3 linked regions of the Alligator mississippiensis genome follow. Each later gene encodes a partner of the first gene's protein in a complex. Links are inferred from orthologs where the notes say so. Each region holds a gene or a part of one and is shown in the gene's direction. Other genes may lie near its edges. The genes, in order: STK3, SAV1 and RASSF5.

Evidence for each region.
Region 2: the proteins of STK3 (region 1) and SAV1 are in contact, whole or in part, in a crystal structure (PDB 6AO5), measured with the Homo sapiens proteins. The link is inferred for Alligator mississippiensis from reciprocal best matches to the Homo sapiens genes STK3 and SAV1. Residues at the interface, in NP_006272.2 of Homo sapiens: Trp429, Lys430, Val431, Pro432, Gln433, Gly435, Phe437, Phe439, Leu440, Lys441, Asn442, Leu443, Ser444, Leu445, Leu448, Gln449, Arg451, Leu452, Leu455, Asp456, Met458, Met459, Glu462, Ile463, Leu466, Arg467, Arg469, Tyr470, Ala472, Lys473; in NP_068590.1 of Homo sapiens: Tyr311, Ala312, Arg313, Ala314, Pro315, Asp319, Trp324, Glu325, Phe327, Gln328, Leu329, Leu332, Asp333, Gln336, Leu339, Lys340, Leu342, Phe343, Glu346, Leu347, Ile350, Val351, Met353, Tyr354, Ala356, Tyr357, Arg358, Ala360, Leu361, Leu362.
Region 3: the proteins of STK3 (region 1) and RASSF5 are in contact, whole or in part, in a crystal structure (PDB 4LGD), measured with the Homo sapiens proteins. The link is inferred for Alligator mississippiensis from reciprocal best matches to the Homo sapiens genes STK3 and RASSF5. Residues at the interface, in NP_006272.2 of Homo sapiens: Phe437, Phe439, Leu440, Leu445, Leu448, Gln449, Arg451, Leu452, Leu455, Asp456, Met458, Met459, Glu462, Ile463, Leu466, Arg467, Tyr470, Lys473, Arg474, Pro476, Ile477, Leu478, Ala480, Met481, Lys484, Gln488; in NP_872604.1 of Homo sapiens: Trp369, Asp370, Ala371, Phe372, Ile374, Leu377, Gln378, Phe380, Leu381, Leu384, Glu385, Glu387, Glu388, Lys391, Ile392, Val395, Gln396, Lys398, Tyr399, Phe402, Arg403, Lys405, Leu406, Ala409, Leu410, Ser413.

The regions. Positions count from the first base shown.
Region 1 is NC_081826.1:40,044,014-40,051,378, forward strand, and holds the start of STK3 (serine/threonine-protein kinase 3), read left to right. Parts: upstream 1-4,300; 5' UTR 4,301-4,446; coding exon 4,447-4,469; intron 4,470-7,365. UniProt on the Homo sapiens protein: Stress-activated, pro-apoptotic kinase which, following caspase-cleavage, enters the nucleus and induces chromatin condensation followed by internucleosomal DNA fragmentation.
Region 2 is NC_081825.1:298,447,668-298,455,705, reverse strand, and holds the start of SAV1 (protein salvador homolog 1), read left to right. Parts: upstream 1-5,016; 5' UTR 5,017-5,047; coding exon 5,048-5,141; intron 5,142-5,419; exon of another isoform or gene 5,420-5,520; intron 5,521-7,594; coding exon 7,595-8,038. UniProt on the Homo sapiens protein: Regulator of STK3/MST2 and STK4/MST1 in the Hippo signaling pathway which plays a pivotal role in organ size control and tumor suppression by restricting proliferation and promoting apoptosis.
Region 3 is NC_081837.1:41,643,673-41,651,204, forward strand, and holds the start of RASSF5 (ras association domain-containing protein 5), read left to right. Parts: upstream 1-4,529; 5' UTR 4,530-4,544; coding exon 4,545-4,917; intron 4,918-7,532. UniProt on the Homo sapiens protein: Potential tumor suppressor. Seems to be involved in lymphocyte adhesion by linking RAP1A activation upon T-cell receptor or chemokine stimulation to integrin activation.

The DNA.
Region 1 (7,365 bases):
ACGTGCATATTTTAGTGTGGCTTTAATATAGTTTTTTCCACTTTTCTTTTAGACAACTGTCTGTTCTAGTATTAGCTGCAATCTGGTAAATGACATGACTAAGGCAGAACAAAGGTAATTTATTCATTAATGGTATGAGACCATCAAATGTACACAAACTTATTTAGTGTGTTTAATTCTGCGTAGTTACTGTTACAAGGAACTGTGCCTTGCAGTTCATGTTTGCTTCCCAGGTTACCATTTGGCACTTGTACGTGCTTGCAAATGAAGTGCTGTAGTCAAGCATGTGATTTACAGGATGTAAGAGATAATGCTGTTTGGGCTAACTTTCAAAGTAAGTTGGGCACCTAAATTCAAAACCATGTGGTTTTGAAAATTCTGTTTGGCCAGGGGCAGGAAATGTAGTTTGAGGCAGGGGCTTATTAGTAGCCAAGAGCTATCTTGAGGTAGGAGAGATATATGTTTTCCTGTCCCAGGTCATAGAAAGCAGTAAGAGCTATAAAGCTGTTTCTTCCACACTCAAAAAGCTTAGTGGTAGTTTGTGTAGATGTGCCTGAGCTAGGTTTAAACTTTACTAATGATGACAGAACTGGCAGCTCCAGAATGCAACACAAGCTATAAGGAGATACTCAGGCAGTTTGTTCTTTGGCTTCCCAGTTGTCACCACCCATGTGAACTAGTTTGAGTACATCTGTACAAACTGCCATCACAACTTTGAGTGGAATATAAGGACACCCCCAATCTTATGTTAATATAAGGAGAGAAATATACACCATAGTGATCTTGATTTAGCAGCTGTGGGACTTCTAATAGAAGCAGCAATTCTTTTGTCAATTATGTGATGTGAGAGCACTAGGCAGTTTGAACGGTTGGTGTCTAGGACCCAGGCCAGGTCTGCAGTACAGGCTTCTGTCAGCACAGCTATGTCAGTCTGCAGTGTGGCCCCTGACCAGCATTACTCTGCTGGCAGAACCTTTTCATGTACACACAGTTAATTATACTGGCAAGACTGCTACCATGTATATCACTTTTTTTTCTCTAAGGGGTGGTTTTGCTATACAAGTAAAAAAATTCTAGCTGTCAGTGTAGCTGTGTCCCTGTTTAAAGCCTGTTGCTGGTACAGTATATTGATGTAGCAATGGGTGTGACAGGTTTGCCATTTTGTAGGCATGTGGGGAAAGAAGTAAACATACCCTGCTCTGCATATGGTGGGATAAATATATTTAACTAGCCAACTGCCCGTCAAGAATGATGAGGGATGGGGGGGAGGGAAGTGGGCAGGAACGGAGCCCCATATGTGCCTACCCCTGGGCCCACTTCCCCTTTCTCAACCCGCCATGGTAGACCCTCCTGTGTCAGGCCTGGGCCCGCTCCTTCCCTCCCCACACTGCTGATACATTGGTCCTGCAGGCGGTGACAATGAAAGTGGGGAGGTGTGGGCTGAGGCCAGCGCTGGTGGCCTCACCCCTGCCCCCCTGCAGCCTCCTGACCCTGCTCCCCCCCACCCCATTGCCACTTCCAAGGAGAAAGGGGGGGAGGCAAGGCCAGCTTTGGTGGCCTTGCCCCCTCTACACTCCATAGTCACTGCCTGCAGGGAGCAGGGCAGGGGGGGCAAGGCCAGTGCTTCTGGCCTCACCCCCCCCCATTCTGTCCACTCCATTGCTGCTGCTGCTTGCAGGCAGCAGGGCAGGAGGGGCAAGACTGGTTGTGCTGGCCTCGCCCCCACTCCATCCCCTGTGTCCCTGCCATTAGGGCAGTGCTCTGCTGTGTCATCACCTCCTGTCCCAATGCTGTATTTGCACTCTTATTGGTTGTTTCAGTCAGCCAATCAGTGCGAATAAAGCATTATGGGCAGACAGACAAAGGCTTTTATATTAAATACTACGATGGTACAACAGAATATGATTAGGCTTTCATAGCATCCTTCAAGAGCCCACTTTGCACAAGTCAGCATTTTCCAATATGAACTGAGCCACACTAATATACTCCAAATACTGGGAAAATTGCATTTCTATCTAAATTGGCTGGCACTGTTTTGTTTACTATATGGGGGTGCGTGTGTATAATTTTTTTTCTTGAAATAGCCTATATTAGAAGCAAGGCAGCAACAACATAAGCTACAGCTTTGAAATGGTAAAGATATCTGACTTGACTGGACTTCTGCAGAAACTTGTTTAACAGTTTGCTCAGGACCACCCAATGATTAGGAGTTGTAATGAAATAAGTGAAGGTCAGTAAGGGTGGGATGTAGAGGGAAACTTTGTTTGTGATACACCAAGGTGTTTTACACTAATCATTATTTCAAACTTCAGTGTGAAGCCCCTTTGTGCAGTGAAAGCTCCAGTCCAACTGGTCTATTTTTATATTGCATAATTTAGAAAGGGAATGTGTCTTACAGGAATGTGAATCATCTCCTGCCGACTTCTGATTTTGCCAGTGACTCATGAGACCTTAGAGCTTTTGTTATCTCTTCCACTTATCTTTTGTTAGTCTTATTTAGTTTAATGGAAAAAATACCATTTACTTGCATCCTAGGGGTGTTGTGAGATTTCATTATTAGTGCCAGCAAGGTTTAATCTAGTCCAGGTTCTGAATCCAACAATATCATTTACCCTGAAAGTTTCCAATCAGGTTCAAACACTGTAACAAGCCGAGTGCAGATTCGCCTGAATGCGGCACCGATTCCCATGCATACTTTTTTCCTAATTCAACCTTCCCTTGGGGAAGGTATGTGGAAGGTGAAGTGGACACCTGTGCTTGCTTTAATTTTTTGGATTGCTCTAGCGGGCCAATCTGTCTCAAGACAGAGTATAGAGCACCTAAGGCTAGAGGTGCACCGATACATCAGTCCCAGGTCAGATTGGCACTGAGATAGGGAAAATTGCAAGTAATGGGAATTGGCCTTTTTTGCCTGATGTGGCAGATTTTAAATGCCACGTGCATATGCACAGTTGCAGCATGCACATGAGCAGGAGCACAGCCCGGCAGCTTGGAAAGCAGCATTGGTTGGTAAGCTTGTTGTGGGGGAAGGGCACATTGAGGTCCCCCAGTGAGGGAGTGGAGCTGGGGCAGGAACAGACACTGCCCAGTTGGGGCAGGGTGCGGGATGAAGCCCTGAGCAGCTGGCCTGGGGAGGATGCTCCTGCCCCTGCATGCACCCCAGGAGGCACACACCATCTGTGTGCCCCTGGATCTGCATGTGGGGCAAGGGGTGGGTTGATGCTGCAGGCTGGGGCAGTACTGGGCTCTTCCCAGTAAGGGGCCAGGCTGCGCTAGGAGCAGGGGCTATGGCGAATTCTGGGGTGGCTGCAGGTCTCCCTGTAGCTCCCCTTAGCGCCACTGCTGCCCGCCCCAAGCGCAGCCCGGCCCAGCCCCTGCCAGGAAGAGCCTGGCACTGCCCTGGCTACAGCCCGCCCTCCCCTGTGCAGATCTGGGGGCACCCCACCATGCCATCCTGGGGTGCGCACAGCACCGGGAGCCACCCTTCTCTACCCTGGATAAGCTGCTCGTGGCTCCATCCTGTGCCCCGCACCACGCCGGCTGTGCAGTGCCTACCCTGCCCCACTCCCCCCGCACCGCAGGGGCCTTGACCTGCCCCCGCCCCCCAACAGCCGTACCAGGCAGCCGGCGCTCTCCAAGCTGCCGGCCTGCACGTTCGAATCAGACTGACGTGGGTCGATATGGCACCCAAAAAATCTCCATGGGTGCACCCCTACCTACGGCTCCTCCGGGAACCTGGAAACGGCACAAAGCGGTGGTGGAGAAAGGGCCCAGACCACCAGACGTGCAGGTGTCCTGACACGCAAGCCACACACCTGTGCTTCCTGCCCGCATGCAGCAGCGGTGACTGGCCGGGGCAGCGGGAGCCGGGCCTGGAAGCCCCCTCGGCAGACAGGGCCGCGCCAGGAGCCCTTTGCCTCGGTGCTGAACGGCTGCGCCCAGGCAATGCACGCTGGAGCCGCCCCGCCCGAGCTCGGGGATGGCGAGGTCGTGCCCGTCACGTGCAGGCGACGCGAGCCGGGCCAGAGGCGAGAACCCATGCAGGAAGCGACTTCCTGTGGGGACTCCATGTCCCAGCGTGCCCCGCGGCGGCCCAGGCGGAGCGGGGCACGCTGGGAACGCGTTGGCTGCGCCCCGAGCCCCGCATTCGCCTGCTCCTGGGGGAAGGCGTTTGTTCTCGCTTCCGCCTCCTGGGTCCTTAAAGTCAAACAATTGACGCCGGTGGGACCCAATCCACTTCTTCCGCCCTGTCCCCTCGGGGCCAATGAGAGGAGGGAGCGGGTGGGGCGGGCTTTCAGCGACCAGCAGTCGGGCTGGCGCCAGCCGCGTTTGTCTGAGAGCGGCGCCCGCGGGGGAGGCGCGAGTCCCACTTAAAGGGCCAGCGCCGCCGCGAAGTTGTGCGGAGTTGGCGGGGCGGGTGTGGCTACACCCCAGGCCGCTTGCACCATGGAGCCGGCAGCGCCCAAGAGGTGAGGGCCTGGTCGGGGCCCCGAGGGGAGGGGACGGGGCGGCGGCGGCGGCGGTTGGGGCTAGGCCGCGGGCCGGGCCGGGCCGGGGGCAGCCCAGCCAGAGCTGAGCCGGCGGCGGGTGCGGCGGCAGCAGCTCCCCTGGGCCGGGCCGGCCCGGCCCGGCCTTGAGGCTGAGGGGTTTTAAACTCCTGCAAAGCCTCCTGTTGGCCGGGCAAGGCCAAGCCGGGCAGCCCTGCAGCGGCGCCCGGGCGGGCCCGTGTCCCGCTAAGGGAGTGCCGGGCTCGGCGGGTTGCTCCCCGCTTCCCTCTGCTGAGAGGGGCGTTAAGCTTTCCCCAGGCCGGGGACTCTGGGCTGTGCCAGCGCTCCTGCTGGGACCTGCGGCTCCTGGCTGCGGGGGCTTGCCCCTCTGCTCCGGGGCAGACGCATCGCCAGACGTGGGGTCAGTTTCACCCAGGGTCAGGCTGGTGAGAGCGAGGGCCCCTGTAGTGGGGGCTGTGGCGTGCCCTCTTGGTGTTCGTTGTCAATATTTTAGGGAAGCAGGCCCCTGGCTGCCCTGCTTCACCTGTGGCAGGTTGGGGTGTTAGGTCTGTGTTGTCAGGGTTGAGGGTAGTCTTGTGACTGTAGATTATGGTTGTGTGAGAAGGTTTGGATACAGATGATCCTACCTCGGGCAGGGGGTTGGACTAGATCAGCAACTGGTGGGTTGTGACCCAAAAGTGGCTCGCAAGAAAATACAAAAAGGTTGGAACAAACTTTTAAAGATGAATCAACACACTTAAAACATGGATTCTCCTTTTTAAAGGAGAAAAATGTGGGAAAAACATGGCTTTTCCCTTGCAGGCTGTCAGAGCCTGCAAAGGGCTGCTTGAGGCCTTCCATGCCCCACATCCACTCCCTGCCCCATACACCCACCCCCTGCCCCACACACTGGTGGGCAGGGGGCACTGTGTTGGGACTGGCTATCCATGTTTACAAGTGGGTCCTGGTACAGGAAAGGTTGACAAGCACAGGCCTAGACAGCCTCTGGAGGTCCCTTCCAGCCCTATGTGAGTCAGGGAGGTAAAATCAAGAATGGCTTTCAATAAGCACACTTCACCTTTTTGTTTAATTTTTTTTTCTTTGCCTGTGTCATTTTGAGCCTTTACAGTTTGTGTCTTCAAGCATGTCTCTAACTATGAACACAAGAAACTTTGTAATGAATCTTCATGTAATAATATGAATTCAAGAGTGGCTGGTGTAAATATAATGCCAAGGTCTTCTCTAAACGCGTAGTAGTATTGCTTTGGCTGTATTGGTGTAAAGTGGCACAATCCTGCCTTGATACAGATATAGCTATAAACACGCTTATATCATCTGCATAACATATTGCTGTTTCGGAAGAGGGAATAAGCTATATTGGGGTAGAGCAGTTCTATAACTGACTCTTAATTTTCTATAAAAATAGCTATAGAAGTACAAAAACTGTTTGTGGGCCAGGCTTCATGTCATGAGGCTCTCAATCAAATTTTGAGTTGGTAATACTGGCCTTGCCTCCCCCCACTTTCTCCTTGGAAGTGGTGATGGCTGCTGAGTCCTGGCTTAAATTTATGGTTGGACCTGGCCTAAGGATGTGGGGCATTGGTGGTGTTCTGTGGTGGGGGGCTTTGGCAGTGATTGCTCTCATCATGCCACCATGGAGAGAAAGTGGTGGCCACAAGAAAGCTACCAAGGAGAAAAGTGGCAGTGGGTCCTAGTGCTGGCTCACGTGCCTACCTCCGACCAGAGCTGGGTCATTCCAGTGAGAGTTGCAGGATGGACAGTATCTCTGAATTAAACGTTAGCTGTCTCAAGCTGGATGCCAAATGATAAACACCCCAAGCTGATCGCCTCCTACAGTTTTGGTGTAAGGGCTCACCTGGAGCTTAGCGTGCCTTGTTTTTGGGTTCTACCTAGTACAATAACAGCTATAGTCATGCATTAGTTTCTGTATACACTGCATGGAAATATTTAGGCACTCAATAATGTGATTCACAGGTAGCTCTGCTTAGTGTGCTGGTTTAAAATAATTTATAGGGAATGCTGATGAAAGAATGGGTTGACACTGGCACAGATAAAACCCAGGATTCCCTTGTCCAGGATGAGTATCTGAGCTAGTATGAAAATGGTATGACTCTTCTTCTGGCTGTCTTCTTGGAGAAAAGACTGGCATGGACACCTAAAGCCAGGATAGGTTTTTAAGTGTGAGAATCCCCATGGATATATTGCTGTATTTATTGAACCCATATGTTCCCTTTGCCCATGCGGGCAAGTGGCCTAATCACTAGGTGAGAGAGTTTTGCTTTCTTGATGTTGCAGCACAATGATAATTTAAGTTACCTTATGGCAAGTTCAATTCCTTCAACAGGAAGGAGAACATGCTTCACCTATAGCCTTTTAGCTGAAGCATGGGAGTTGAGAGATGAGGTTCAAATCCCTTCGAGCAGGAGAGTGTGTTTGTTGTTTTTTTTTTTTTTTTTTTTTCCTTCCTTCCCCCCCCCCCATACTCTGGGTGAAGACTGTAGTCATGGATATATTGGATAAAATGAAATCACCACCAGCACCTCTTTCTCTTCCCTTGTTTGTGTGGGATCCAATCCAGTAGGTGTTTGCTGACAATGCTTTTCACTTCAGACCCAATAGGGGGCATAGAAGAATGTTTAGTTTGTAGATCTCTAAAGAGCTTAGGAACCTAGCTTGTCCATCACTGTCAAGACAGAGACAGTTCTGGGTTTTGCAGCAGCAAACATTTAGGTGTTTGGGGAACTATAGTGGTACACACCCATGGGCCTGCAGGCTATGTTGCACTGAAGTGGGAGTTTGGAACTTTGCTTATGTTCTAACTTGTGTGCCACTGCCTCTCTGGTTTGGAAGAATAAAG
Region 2 (8,038 bases), on another chromosome or scaffold:
AGAGTTTGAATTCACATCTACTCAGCAAAGTGGAGGTGGAGTCAGAAGAAGTCATCAGGACTAGGGACAGAAGTTGCACATAGTGGTTTAAGTGATCAGAAACTGTTCTAAGCCTTTAACAGAACAGAAGTGCACATAAACCACTTTCAAAATGGCTAAAACTGGGTTAAGATAAACCTGGTTGAACGTAATAAATATCGGACTTAACTAATTTAGGTCAAGCTGGTTTATGAAACTTCTGTCCCAGACCCCTTCCTGGTTCAAGTTAAATCACAGTCCCCTGACATCCCAACATGCTTTGCAGCCCTGAGCTGGGCTGTGCTGTGCTGTCAGTTGCTGTTGGCCCTGCCCCTCTGCTCCCCAGCCAGAGCAGTGAGGGCTGGCCAACAAGGGGGTGAGGGTGGGAAGCCCAGCTGGCGACTGCAGCTGGGTCTGCCTGGGGAAGGGGGCAGCCCCATCAGACTTTTTCCTGCTGGAGTAGGGGGGGTGGGGGCATGGGGAGGCAACAGCCTGAGAGGGACTGCCCCAGCTGGGGTCTCAGAGGGGCTTTAATCCCCACTTCCTCAGCTCAGTATGCTCCCCGTGCCCCCTGATCTCTGCTGGTGCAGGTGGGCAACAGCCTGAGAGGGACTGCCCCCCAGGCAAACCCATATGAGGTCTAGGGGGGCTGGAGGGACTAGTCCCCTGCCACCTGTGAACATAAGGCCAAGCCCCGCCAACCAGACTGAGAGGTGGGAAGTGTTGGCAAAGTAAAACAATAGTCACATGTGTGCTGGAGATGGAGCTAAGGGAACAGGAGAGGGACTGCTTGGGCTGGTGTGACCAAAAAAAGCAGAGAGCTACATTTACATTATAAAACAGAACCAGTAAAAGGTGGGAGACAGGAATACCTAAGCAGAGACAAAAGACACTGAATGCGTGAGAGTCCTGACCTGCCAAAGGTGCTATAGGTGACAACAAGCACACTAGTGTCAAGGCACCCAAAGGGGTGAAAGTGTGCCTGTAGAAACCCAAGTAGAGATGAGGCCTGTGAGATCTCTGCTCCGACACCTAAGACCACCTGCCGATTCCCCAAGAAGGACTTTTTGAATACCTGGCTGTAAGGAGACACTTGGGATTACGTAAGATTTATGCAAGGCTTTCTCTTGCCTTCTTGGTTTACATTATAAGGTAGACTAAGTTGTGTGTGCTCACCCTGTGTTTTCCTGGGCTGCATTTTAGCATAGGCAAAGATTTTGGGTGGTTGCTTCTTGTGTGCTTGAAGTTGCAAATTGCTGCGTTCAATACGTGCTCAGTTCAGAGAGAAAACTATTCTTGTTCAAACTTTTATGAATTTAGTGCCACTACCTTTTCCCCCATCCACCTTCTCCTCAGCCTGGCAGCCTCGAGAGGGGGGCGGGAGAGGGCAGAAGCCTGGCAGGCGCTGCCTGCCCCCTTCCCAGGCAGACCAGGGTTGGGGTCTGATGTGGTCTAGGGAGAGTATTTAAACCCCCACCCTCCAGCATGCTAGCCCAGGGCTGGGACCTGGCCACGTCCCCTCCACTGGAGCAGGGAGGGGAGGAAACCTTGGCGCTTCAGTCCCTCCCCTTTGGCAGTGGCTGGCAGGCTGGGAGGCATGCTCTAGTGCCCCCGGCTTCTGGCCTGAGTCGCTGCAGGCATACGGCAGCATTTCCTGAATCAAAAGTGAATGTCTGTTCACTTGCTTCTTGGTTTAATCGACGCAGCTTAGACTCACCTGCAAAGACTGAATTGATTCAGCCTCCGGCTTTTTGACTGTCTGTACTTAGTCCAGAAGCAGCCTCAGTCTGGCACCCCTAGGAAGGAACATGTCCTGGGTTCTGGCCCCTGTTCTTGTCCACATTGCTGCTGGTGCATTTTGTGAAACCATATTTTGATTAAATGGGTAGATAGGATCAGAGGCAGAAAAGGATTTGGCTGCTTGGCATGACACAGGAGGTGAGGAGGGCACACTTGGCCTTGCTTTGCTGGGAGCCTGGTGGTTAGGGACCTACAAGAAAGCAGGAGATGTAGACTTCAGATTCCTTCAGATTGGGAAAGGGGTGGCTGGAGCATGGGTCTTTCATTCCCTGGAGAAAGTGCCCAATCAGCCTATGGTGCAAAAGTGGGGAGCAACATCACCACCACCACGTAGCCTCAGATCCCATTTCAACTTTAGGCATTTATCTGTGGAAGAACAGTGAACTTGCTGGATGCAGGAGAAAGGCTCCTGGATCTCAAAGAAGAGCTGTTATTTTCTTCTCATGGTGTCAGTTCATGTGACAGCCAGAGGTGACTTTCTTCCTACGGCCCTGCCAGGGGAACAAAGATACAACGTCCCTGGCTGGCTGTTCGTGCCACCCATCGTTATGGGAAAATCTCCTGTGTTGCTTTGCTTCTGCCTATAGGATGAGTGACACAATATCATCGGTGCTGTTGGAACCCAACCAAGCCCCCCGCTCCATTCGCTGCAGGCACTAGAAATGAAGTGTTGCAATTGTGGACATGGCTTCATTGGAAAATGTTTAGTAACACATCGTATCAATCATGAGTCTGATGGCAGTTTGTTTTGGCTGATAAGTTGTCCATTGGGAAGGATACTTTTTTGTGCCAGGTGGCATTTGTCCAGGCTGTCCAACTGCCAGCTGCTGCTTAGTATTTGAGGTGCACATCTGGAGAGCTGATTTCAATTCAGCTTGCAGATGTAACCTAAGCCTGCAGTGTCCAGGATTGATGCTAGTGTCTCCTGCTTGTGTTTGCTGTTGACTAGTATTTACATCCAGTATTTACCTACTAGGGGACTGATCTATAAAAAATGTGCAGCTGCGGAAGGACAGCAGGGTCACTGGAGAGAGAATTCGGTGAAGGAGTTTATTGTAAATCAGACCGTTTCAGTCTAGCTATATTTTCTGGAGAACATGGCCAGCAGCATGACAGAGACAACTGATTCAAGCTGAATATGAGTCAACAAGTGGGATATGAGCCAGTGGTGAGCCCTTGTTGCCAAGAAAGCTAGCGGCATCCTGGGCTGCGTTGGGAGGAGCATTGCCAGCAGATCAAGGGCGGTGATTCTTTCCCTCTATTCAGCACTGGGGAGGCCACATCTGGAGTCCTGGGTCCAGCTGTGGGCCCCCACTACAGAAAGGATATGGACAAATCGGGGAGAGGCAATGGAAATGGTTCAGGGGCTGGGGGACATGACTTGCGAGGAAAGACTGAGGGAACTGGTCTGATTTAGTCTAGAGAAGAGGAGACTTGGAGGGGATTTAACAGCAGCCTTCAAATCCCTGAAGGGTGGTTCAAGAGGATGGAGCTGGGCTGTTCCCAGTGGGAGCAGATACAGAACAAGGAGGAATGGGCTCAAGTTGCAGCAAGGGACATTGAGGTCAGATATTAGGAAGATTTTCCCACCAGGAGGGTAGTAAAACACCAGAACAGGTTACCCAGAGGGGTGGTGGGAGCTCTCTTCTTGGAGGTTTTCAAAACCCAGCTGGACAAAGCCCTGGCTGGGATGATCTAGTTGGGGCTGGTCCTGCTTGGAGCAGGGGTTGGATTAGACGTGCGGACCTCCTGAGGTCCCTTCAACCCTTGTTTTCTGTGATTCTGTTAGTCTATAAGAGGCATCTCTGTCCTGCCTTCTACCTGCAACAGACTGTGGTGGCACCACTGAACAGGGATCTTCAAATAAATAATCATAATCATAATAATAGTGTTCTTCATTGCAGAAGCATCAGTTAGTCAAAGTAAGCATTTTTGTTGGGGTGCACATACAGGGATTGGACACAAATGCAATTTCTGCTCAAAATGAGTGAGAGTGCTCAGTCATTTCTGCACAATTGCTGGCAGTCGGGCCTGGCAGCTGATGGAGACTTGGGCACAGCAGGGCCTGAACCTTTGCCCTGCTGGGTATTTTGGAGGGGAGAGCAGGGTCTCTTTGCTTTCTCCGCACTAAAAGGTCTCAGGGGGGAGTCCAGGATGAAATGGCACGTGTTGGTTTAAATGCTGGCCCACTGCAAGCCTGGGGAACCACTGCCTGCCTGGCTCCGTGGGCCGAGCCTCCCCTCTCTCCTGCCAGCCTGGAGATATTCCAGGGGTGGAACAATAGCCCTCAGGGGAAGGATGTGTGTCCGGTGATGGAGCAACAGCCCCCTGTGCATGTGTGTGTGTGTCTACGGGTGCAACAACAGCCCTCGTAGATGTGTGTGTCTGTGGGGGGGGTGTCTAGGGGTGCAACCACAGTCCTCATGGGTGTGTGGGGGGGTGTCTAGGGGTGCAACCACAGCCTTCATGGGGGTGGGGGGTGTCTAGGGGTGCAACCACAGCCTTCATGGGTGTGTGTGGGGGTGTCTAGGGGTGCAACCACAGCCCTCATGGGGGTGGGGGGGTGGGGGGGAGTGTCTAGGGGTGCAACCACAGCCCGCCTGGGGGGGGTGGATGTGTGTGTGGGGGAAGGGGCTGTCTAGGGGTGCAACCACAGCCCTCATGGGTGTGTGTAGATGTGTGTGTGTGTATGGGAGTGTCTAGGGGTGCAACCACTGCCCTCATGGGTGTGTGGATGTGTATGGGAGTGTCTAGGGGTGCAACCACAGCACTCATGGGTGGGTGGGTGTGTATGGGAGTGTCTAGGGGTGCAACCACAGCCCTCGTGGGTGGGGGGGGCGGCGCTGGGCTCCCTCAGCAAGTGCCCCTCCCCCACTCTCCTCCAACCGCCACCGAACCCACCACCCGCAACGTTCTACCCCGACCGTTAGCTGGGAGCGAAGGGGAGGGGAGCGGCGGGGAGCAGGGGAAAGACGGGCTCCCATTGGCTGCGGGGGGACGGGAGACCCTCCGTGCCGCAGGGCGGCGCTGTGGCGCAGGGCGGCGGCCGGCCCGGCTTCCTGTATCCCATCAGCCCCTGCGCGGCGGCGGCGCCCCTGAGGGGCGAGTGCGGGGGGCGGCGACGGCGGCTCCGCACATGGCGCAGCGGCGGGGCCGGGAGCGGGGGTGCCCCGGGGCGGGTGCGGGTGCGGGTGCGGGTGCGGGCGCGGCGCGCTGAGGGGGAGGGGGGATGCTGTCGCGGAAGAAGACGCGCGCGGAGCTGTCGAAGCCGGGCGAGGTGCAGGGCAAGTACGTGAAGAAGGAGACCAGCCCGCTGCTCCGCAGTGAGTGTCGCCGTCCCGCCCGCCCGCCCGCGGGGCTCCCCGGTGCCCCGAGACCCTCTCAAGGGCTGCCCCGAAATGCCCCCCCCCCCGGGCTCCACCCCGGGCAGGATAAAAGGTCTCGGCAGAGAAGTAGAGAAACACGTGTTTAAATGGACCGTGTTCCCTTAATAGTTTTCTCTGATGCTGGGAATCGTTCATCTATCTCTGTCCTGGGGTCGGCACTTGTTTTTCAGACTTAGACTGTCTTCACTGCCCAAAAAGAGCATTTTTCACCCTAGGGTAACTATCACTTGAGCCTGATCTCCCGGTGCAATCCAGCAGAAGCAAAGTCCCTGTCACTCTTACGGGAGACGGGTAATATTCGCTGCCCCTGCGCCAGGTGCGTCGCTATTTACCTCACAGTAAACGGTCGACCGCGTCTTATTGTCCCAAGGATCATCTCGAGGGATGAGCGTGTCCATCCATAGCTTTCGTCATTGAACGTCCTGGCGAGAAAGGAAAATGCGTTGTAAACCTGTCAGCCCTTAGGCTGTTTTGTTGAGAAGTAACGATAGCTGATTGTACGCTCTCACGTGTAATAACTTTTGCGTAGGTTTATGCGTGTTGTCTACTAACGCGCCATTCAAAACAAATGTAAAAGTTGCAGAACAAATTGGCCTCATTACCACGTGGGGTGGGTGGTTTCCAGAAGGCATAGTAACTTTTTTTTTGTTTAATTTGTGTCTGGTTGTAGTATCAGGTGGATGGTGTGATATAATACCAAGATAATATATCACTTGATGGAGACAACATTATATAGATAACACTAGCAGAGTAGCAGTTATTGTTCACATCCTATATTTGCTTCCTTAAGGCAGAAAAGTCAAGTGCAGAGGCAGTCAGGTCATATTAAAGTTGAGATTTTACACGCGCACAATGACAGCGTTTGGATGGGCTGTATCGTGGTGATAGTGCAGGTTCCAGTCCTGACTTTACCACAGATTTCTGTGAGACTGTGGGCAAATCACTTACATCGCTAGTGAGAATACGTGAACGCACATATCCTGGTACGGCACTGAACAGGGAGTGGGAAAGTTGGGTTATGTTCCTAGTTCTGCCGTTGAGGCGAAGTGGAAAAAGTTGATTCCTACCCAACATAGCTGTGCCATCAAAAGACCTTTCTAAAGATGCATTTAAATAGGCCAAAAAGGTGCATTTATCCTTTTGTTTTGAGGGTTTTATTGTATTGGAACACGCCAGTATAGCTACATATACAAACATGAACTAGGAGTGCTTTGCCAGTGTACTGTAATGCAAAGGGCAAGGTTTTTTTGGGGTGATCTCTCTTCTTGGATCGACTGCAGGGTTGGGATGAAGTTAGAGAGGCTTGGGAATGCAAGACATCCTTCATCAGGTCACTTCATCAGCATGCAGTAATGGCATTCTGGATTGAGGTTCACGAGGCCCTGGTAGTGAAGAGATGACCTGACTTGCTAAATGACTTTGTGGTGTTGGTTTCTTAAACTTTCCATGCCTCTTTGGTCTGTCTCAGGTATTTAGAGTCTAAGCTTTTTGGGGCAGGTGCTTTTTCCTAACAAATGTATAAATGCGCACAGTACCAAGCACAGTAGAACTGTGGTCTTGGTTAAGTACACCTAATTTCTGAAATTTGAATTTGCTATGCACAGAACAAAAACAGAGTAAAAACCTCTTGTCTAAAGAGTTCACAAACTGATCTTTCTTCAACTTGATAACTTATCCCCATAGTACGCATGAATTTTCTATGGTGGTCATGTCCAGATGAGCACGGATGTTTGGTTCCCCAGCAACATGAAGCAGCGGGCACACCTTGTGCCATTGCTGCTTGTCCCCAGGGACCACTCATGTCATGCGCCCTCTAGGCATGCCAGCTGTGCAGCCGCCATGATCCTGGAGCTGGAGCATGGCTCTAATGGGCCAGGCTCTAGTTTTGAGTGGCACATGCTGCAGCCATGTTCACTGCTTTGGTTTTTTTCCTGTGCAGGTTTTTTTGACCCCAGGATCTCCCTCACGCTGCAAGGTAGCAGCACAGGAAATACCCGAACGTGCGGTGTGTGGCACTGCAGATGGGTCTGCAGTGTCATATACCACACGGCTTCTCTTGTCTGGGTGTGGCATATGTGGCTTAATACCATTTACTTTGAGTTTCTTTCATGGAATAGATGTTCCTAGTTTTTTGAGAGAGAAATATGGGGTAATATTAATTTCTTTGATATGTGCTTTAAGAATAATTATTTAATATGGTATCCATTTGCACAATACAAGCAAGCTTATCTTCCTCTCCAAACTGTAGCTTTTGAATTTCCTGATTTTTAGAATAAAGTTTTTAGCTTTAAGTTCAACCCAGTTAAGTGTTTATATTCCATGTAATTAGGTTGTATTTTATAGCTAGAATCAAGTTTTTTGCTTACAATGTATTGTTGGTTCTGTTACAGATCTGATGCCTTCATTTATTCGTCATGGTCCAACTATTCCAAGACGAACAGATATCTGCCTTCCTGACTCAAGTTCTTCTGCCTACTCTGCTGGTGGGGATGGAATACTTTCCAGAAACCAGAGTTTCCTTAGAACTCCAGTTCAGAGGCCACCTCATGAAATAATGAGACGAGAAAGCAACCGCCTATCTGCACCTTCCTATCTTGCAAGAAGTTTGGCTGACGTTCCTCGGGAATACGGTTCTTCCTCCCAGTCATTTCTAACAGAAGCTAACTCCGTTTCAGAAAATGGAGATACAGGGGCCCGCTACTACTATGATCATTTTTTTGATGGACAAAGGAGGCGTCAACTAAATGATCGTGTACATGAGGACTATAGATATTATGAACACAACAATGATCTTTTCCAAAGGATGTCACAAAACCATGGGAGACACACTTCAG
Region 3 (7,532 bases), on another chromosome or scaffold:
GGGGGCCTTTGCTACTGATGTGATGAGACTAGAATTGTGCAGGTCAGAGTGGCACTGAATATCTCATTTAATTTATACCTCTTGCTGTTAACAGATTATGGCACTATGGGCTTTTAACATGGATCCAGCATTTAACTGCAGTCTCGCCAGTTCATGCCAAACTCCACAATGGGAGACAGAGATACGGAGAAATCAAACTTACTCTCCAGTGTAAGAGATGAAAGCAATCGTCTCTTTGCATGATTTTCCTCTGACTTAAACTAGGAGCATTTCTGCTGAAGTCAGTGAAGTTGCACCAGTTTTATGCTAGTGCACATATGAGAAAAGCTGATCCAGTGGTTGGGAGTGCTAGTCTGTGACCCAAATTCATCTCCCTGCTTTAGTACAGGTGTCGTATGTGACCTTGGGCCGGTCACTTAACTTTTCTGTGCCTCAGTTCCCAATCTACCCAGTGGAGTAATAGCAGTGCCCGGTGCACATGAAAGATTGTGAAGCGTTCGGGTACTGCGGTAATGGGGTCCAGCGCTATAGATAGTGTTACGGACAAAGAACTGCTCTGTGCATCAGGAATCCTAGTTTAGGGAAGGAAGAATCCTCTCTCGGTTGGATTCAGGAGTGGAAGTTGGCTGTTTTTCTGTTCCTACTCTTCATCTGATCTTGGCCGGATCACTACTACTTTGTGCCTTTCTCTCCTGATTTATAAACGAGCCTAGGCTTCTCGGGCATGCAGCAGCCTGACGCTCAAAGGCTTTATAGTTTCAGGTCTGCAAAGAATATAGAGCTGTGTTTTAAGACCGCTGTTGCCCTTTGTGCTGCCTTTTTATAATCTCTCCTCTCAGTGCAAAAGGCATATAAAAATGAGTTTTCCAAAGCAGAGATTGCAGGGACGTCTGAGCTGGCAGAATCCTTTTGCTACTCAGATTTTTGATTTCCCAAAAGGCTTGTTTGAGGTATGCATATCAGGTGGTTAGACCTGTACCTCCTTGAGGTGTTCCGCTTCCTTAGAAGGCAAGCCACGTTTGTGAGAAGAAAATATTCCAGGTTGCCCACTTCACGTGATCCCTCTGTGTAGCTCTACAGTGCTAGTATAATTGGAGTGGGAAAATTTAATTAGTTCCAGCTAGCTTTTGGGGCCTAGTCAACCCTCCGACTATGTAGCAGCAGAGCTATTTTGGTTGGGAGCGTGAATTTGTCCCTGTGTAGTTACACCAGTAGAACTCCAACTGCGGGGATATTGGTATAAAGGCGCTGTATAGCAATAAAATGTATTCCCCGTCCTCTATGGGAAATAAGGTTACAGTCATATAAATGCACTTCTACCTCTGTAACGGCATCCACACTATTGGAGCGGATCCATCTGAGCTATGGCAGCCTAGTTTAAAGCAAGTACAAGCCTTGTGCACAGACAAAGCGGGTGTGTTGAAGCAGAGAACGGGTTGCTGTCTTCTGAGGGTGCCAGGTACCGTGACTGCTGGTTTTCCAAGCAGAAAAGGCTAGAGAGCAGCTGGAGCAGTCTATTGGAATTTCCTATAGGAAACTTTTGCTCAGTTGTTTGCACCCAGTGTCCAGGTAAAATGCAGTAGGAACCCCTTTCTTAATGCCAAGCACTTCTCTGGTACCTCCGACTCAGAGGCTTGCCCTCTGCGCTGATTGCCTAATGCCTCCAGGCACCAGGAGATAGGAAGGTGGGGTTATTCCCCGTTGTGAAGGCTGAAATGCTCATGCCATCACCTGACTCCAGGCAATGGGGTAGAGGCGTTCAGAAGTGCTAGGTCTCCAAATAAGGGAGCAGGAATTGGTAATATTGCATTTATTGTATATGGAAATGGAGGCACCTAGGATCAGTTTGTCCCTACGCTTGAGGTCAGAGTTTATAACTGGGGAAAGTTTGTGCCTTCCAGCTAGACTCAGCCCGGTTAGAAACAAGACTTGGAGAAAACTGCAATGACCCCAAAGGCTCAGGAGTTGGAGCAGACAGGGCAGACGGTCCTCTCCGCGGTTCTTGTTCACCCACCTCTAACACTCATAGTTGTTTTAAAAAGAGCCGGGTGAGGCTTGGCCTTTCTTTTTGGCTTTGTGATTGTAAGTCTGCACCCAATAGAACGGCTGTGGGGATATTTTAAAATTCAAATGGAAGCTTTTAAAAAATAAAATAAACATAATCTGGCACTGTTGGCAAATACTAGCAAGTGCTAGCGCCTGGAAGACAGCAATGGGAAATGAGAGAGTTTGTTTTCACTTGCCTCCCACCATGTGCCACATGAAAGTAAAAGGCAGCAGTGAAACTTTCAGACGTTGGAGGCAGGCAGCTTTATAAGGGGTTTGGTAGTTTGGTTTTCCCTAGCCACTAAGTTTGCAAATGTGCAGTTCCCAATAAGTTCAGCGAGATGTGGTGATGCCCGTGACCTGTGGATCCCCAGCCCCTAAGTGCCGGGAATAAGAATTTAGACTCTCCAAAGTTTGAAGTGGTTGGGCAGCCGTGAAAATATCTTTGTTTTCACAGTCTCCAAATCTTACTTGCAAGAAAAGGAAGGAAAAGTGTTTAAGTGGGTCATTGCTTTCTATAGTATCGTGGAGCACGTGCCATGGAGCAGACCCCAGTCCTCTTGACAGTGGACACAGAGCTCAACGTCAGTCTGTACCTGGAGGAACTTGGCACAGGGGCGTAGACTCAGGGATGCTGAGAGAGGGCTGAGTGTGCGGGAACAAACCCTCCACCTGGCGTGCAGTGCTGAACCTGCAGCAATTGCTCTGTGACCAAACACACTTAAGATACAGAACCGCATAACTTACTTCCCAAGGAAGGGCAGGACTGACTGTTGTGATCAGTCTGACGCAGACACCCAAAGCTTCCTTTCAAACAGTCCTTTGGCCTCTGCCATGGCTTTGGGGAAAGTGGTTTGTTACTAAGCCAATTCCTATTACAGGCAGCCGGTCTTCACCAGCTTGGGTGGAACCGTTGAATATTTAGGCAGCAGGTTAAGATTTCCAAAGCGCCCCTAAGGCGAGATTCCCAAAGGCATTCGGGTGTGCTGGAAACCCCCCTACCTCCCTTTACACAGCTGGTGCCAAGCCGTATTTTCAGAAGGGACTAAGGCAGGGAGGATGCTGTGGTGCACTTGCACCCTTTTGATCCTGCTCTACCCAAAGTTTAAAACCAATTGCCTGGCAGAGGCAGCAGCATTTCTAGTCAAGCAGCAGTGAGGGAGCCAATGGACTTCATTCAGATTACCCGATGACGTCTCAACTTTGTTCCATGGGTGTTCACGACCTGCTCTCCTTTCTAAGGCTCTGGTTGTTGCACGAACGCAGCGAGCTTTTCTTCGGCAAGGCTGCGGTTTGTGAGCTGCTCCTGCCAGGGTAGCTCCTCTTTTGCAGCCTGCGGACCGGTCCTAACGCGTTCCCGTAGGAATTGCAGTTGTGTTGGGCCCGTAGTTATGCTACACTATGGTGTTGAAAAGCGGTATGGGAGAAAGAAGCCTCCTGGCCGCTGGATGACCTTGCAAGAAAGGAAAGAAATAAAACTCGCACTAGCGAGCAAAAAGACACGGAAGGGAGAATGAAAATACCAGCTGCAACTGCTGCAGTTACTAATGAGAGTGCAAGTGCGTGAACTTAGCCAGCAAAACTAAAATGAACATCTTGGAGAGAGAGAGAGAGAAGAGTAGGTATGAAACGGGGAAGGGACACGCACACGCAAGTATAAATGCAGGAAGGAGTTGGGAGACATGTCCGGCAAGGAGACGGAGGGGAGAGTCTCCTGTCAAGGGCAAGCTCCACCAAGTTGAACCGATTGCTAATTAGACCCACTGAGCGCTGTCCAAGGATAATAAACCCTTCTGAGCTTTCATGGTTGAACATGGATCCAAGCTGTGCTTTCTGCGTTGCCTTCAGGACCTGGAAGATGGCTCGCAACCAGCAGCCTGGACATCAAAAGCGACATCAACCCCTTCCTGCTGAGAAAAGAAAACCCTCCGCTCACGGCAGAACAACCCTCCGGTACACTTCTGTCCTGGCATCCGTCTGAAACCGAATCGCCCGGCCTAGCACCCAGCTTCTTCTGACCTCGAGAAAAATAGGGGCGGTGTTGGAGGGGACGATGCCCCTCAGCGTAGGCACCCCCTTCTCGCAATCCTGGGTTTGCCCGGGGATGGAGACACGGGGGAGACCTCCCTCCCCTTTCCTCGAGGAGTTGGGCTGGAAGCAATGAGGCAGGATCAGCCCCTACACTCGGCCCGAGCCCGCACTGAGCTGGCACCCGGAGCTGCCCCAGGGCCCGCGGCCTGTGTCTGTGCGCCCCTGAGCCGGGTCGGGGCAGGAGCCTCTGCGCCAACAGGTGCGGGGCGCCCGGCCGGTGCGGGGGCGGGCACGGCCAGCAGCGCAGCCTCTGGGGGGGGAAGGAGAGGAGGCCGAGCCGAGCCCTGCCCAGCCTTGGCTCTCCAGGGGCGGGCGCCCGGCGCGTCTCCTCCCCCGGCCGCGGCTCCGGCTCCAGCTCCAGCTCCTCCCGCTCGTGCGGTGCGGTGCGGTGCGGTGCGCGGTGCTGCATGGCGCTGGTGGGGCAGCTGCCCCGCGCGCTGCGCCTGGACGCGGAGCCCGAGGCGAGGAAGCGGCGCCGCGCCAAGCGCGAGCCCCCGCGCGCCCGCCGCCTGCCGCCGCCGCCGCTGCTGCCGGGGGACGGGGACGGGGACGGGGACGAGGAGGACGGCGATGCGGGGAAGCCCCCGGCCCTGCCCCAGCGCCTGCGCCGGGCCGCCCCGCGCCTGCTGCCCGACGTGCGCACCATCTTCCAGCAGCCGCGGGACCCGCGCGTCCCGCCCGAGCGCGGCCACGGACACCGCTTCCAGCCCGCCGCGCCCCGCCTCGCATGGTGCGACCTGTGCGGCGGCGCCGTGCGGCCCCCGGCCCTGCGCTGCGCCAGTGAGTGCCTCGCTCCCCACCTGCCCGCCTCCCTCCTCACCCTGCCTGCTCCCGCCCTCCCTGCCTCCCTGCCCAGCCGGGGTTGCGTGGGGAGCCCTGCCTGCACAGGGGCGGACTCCCCCTGACTGGGTTTCCTTTCTCCTCCTCGCCTGCCCTGTGCACGGGGCGGGGGGAGCCCCTGCCCTGTCCTGTCCCGCAGCTCTGCCTCATTGCGGGTTGGGTTTTTCCCCCCTGCGCTGCCTCAGACCGTCCCCGGCTGCGTGTCCCGGGAGCTGCCCCAGCCAGGAATAGACCCCCTCCGCCTAGACTGGGCTTCTTCTTTCCTCCTTGCCTGACCTCTCTCCCCAGCTGTGCACGGTGCGGGTGGGAGCCAGGGACTGACTAGAGGGGAAGCCTGCCCCTGTCCTGCCTCCTTGCTTGCAGGAGTTGTCCCAGCAAGGGGTAGATAGATGCCCTCTGCCTCACTGCGGTTTGGTTTTCCCTCAGTGCTGCCTCAGACCGTCCCCAGCTGCATGCCCCCGTCAGCCAGTGATTGACTGGAGGGGAAAGCTAACCCCTGCCAACAGGAGCTGCCCCAGCGAGGGCTAGATGCCCTCCGTCTGATTGACCTTTTGGTTTTCCCTCAGTGCTGCTCAGACCGTCCCCAGCTGCACGCCCCAGGAGCTGGGGACTGACTGGAGGGGAAGCTAGCCCCTGCCTGCAGGAGCTGCCCCAGCGAGGGCTAGATGCCCTCCGTCTGATTGACCTTTTGGTTTTCCCTCAGTGCTGCTCAGACCGTCCCCAGCTGCACGCCCCAGGAGCCGGGGACTGACTGGAGGGAAGGCGGCCCCTGGCTCGCGTCCCTGCCTGCAGGAGTTTCCCCAGCCAGGAGCAGACTACCTCCGCCTGTCTGGGATTTTTCCCCTGGCGGCTGACTCCGCCGTCCCCAGCTACACAGCGCGGTCCAGGAGCGCGCCTGGCTCCTCCCTGTGCCCCCGCCGTGTCCTCACCTGGCACTCGGGATGTTTTGCAGGTTTAGCTTCTGGAGCAGCCGCCAGGGTTTTTTTGCACCGACTAGGTGGATGCGGGATGTCATTTGAAGGGGTGTGGGGTGGGATCCAGCGTGGCAGTATCCGTTTAGTCGTGTGGCTGCGAAGGGCATTTGGAGAACAATTAGTCGGGTCCCTTCGCCGAGCCTGGCAGCAAAGATGCTCGTCACGCTCTGCGAATCTGTGGCAGCAATGAGCTTGCAGGGGTCGTTTTGGTCACTACCGTATTAAGGTACCATCTGGCGTTTTGGCTGGAGAAAAGAAAAATGGCGATTCTGGGAGGGCTGGTGACATGTCATAACAGTCGGTGTTGTGAAGCACGGCAAGCAGAAGTGAGGAACAAAGCCATGGGGGTCCTGGTGGGAATGAGCAGTAACTTTACCCACTATCTGTCAAAGACTTTATGGGAAATCTTCGTGCAGGAGGTCAGTGTTGTTATGCCCTTTATACAGGTGGGGAAACTGAGGCACGAGGCGATGAAGCAACATGCCCAAGGTCAGCAGACCGGTAGCAGAGCTGGGAACAGACTTCTTCTTCCTGGGTCCCAGTGTATTGTGCTCTTTACCAAGCCATCCCGATAGCTGCACTTGCTGGCCCCTAGAAGAGTAGTGCCCCTGCATGGTGCACGTGTTACTGCCAGCATATCCCTGTCATATCGGGAGGGGTTTTTTTTCTCTCCGTAGTCTCAAGGAAATCTTGGAAATGTTACACGTGGGGGGGATTTGATTGAACTTAACGATCGTGGTGGTACGCTAGAAGCGCAGATGGGAACATGCATGGCTGATTTTTGTAGGTATGAAAACTTAATGGTGGATAGAGTTGCATTTTCTTGTGAGCCGTGCTGCTGCCAAACTGCTCATTCTTTCCCTTTGTGTGCGGCTGATAAATAGACCTTGGTTTTCACTGGTGTTTTAACCTTCACCCTGCGTCTACTTGTTGAAGCAGCTGGAAATGACTGTTTCTGATTGCAACTTCCATGTGACTACTGTACTAATGGTTACAAGAGTAGAGAAGTCAGTAATTAAATTGTTCCTCCCCAAAGACAGGACTGATGACTTGAGCTGGACTGGATCTGTATTTTATTTCTCAACAGCTCCCCATTTGCACGGCGACTTCTCTCTGTCCCCTCTGTGTTCATGGTTAGCTGTTCACTTTCCGAGCCTGCCTTGTGCAGCATGTCGAACATCGTAAAGCGCATCTAATCCTGATGTGCTTGCATATAATTAAGGGCTTCTCATCGTAAAATGTGTCTGGCAGGGGACGCGTGCTTCAGAGGTTATGCCAACGCTGCAGCACAGTGTGTGCTCGGGCTCCACATGTGGATCTAGATTCGCTGTACACTCAATATTGATGAGGGGAAAGAGTTTCTGTTCTTTAAATTCACTCTGCAGGTTGCTCTGTGTGCTGAATTGCTTACGGATGCATTTCCCAGCTCTAACGAAAGAAGCAGAGATAAGGCACCTTTTTAGCTGAAGCAGCGAATGAAATGGGAACGTTTCTTCTGAGCTAAAACGTAGGTCCATTTTATTACCCATCTGCTGCAGTTTGGAAAAGGAGGTTTCATGGGAGTCTAATCAGGTTGTTTTT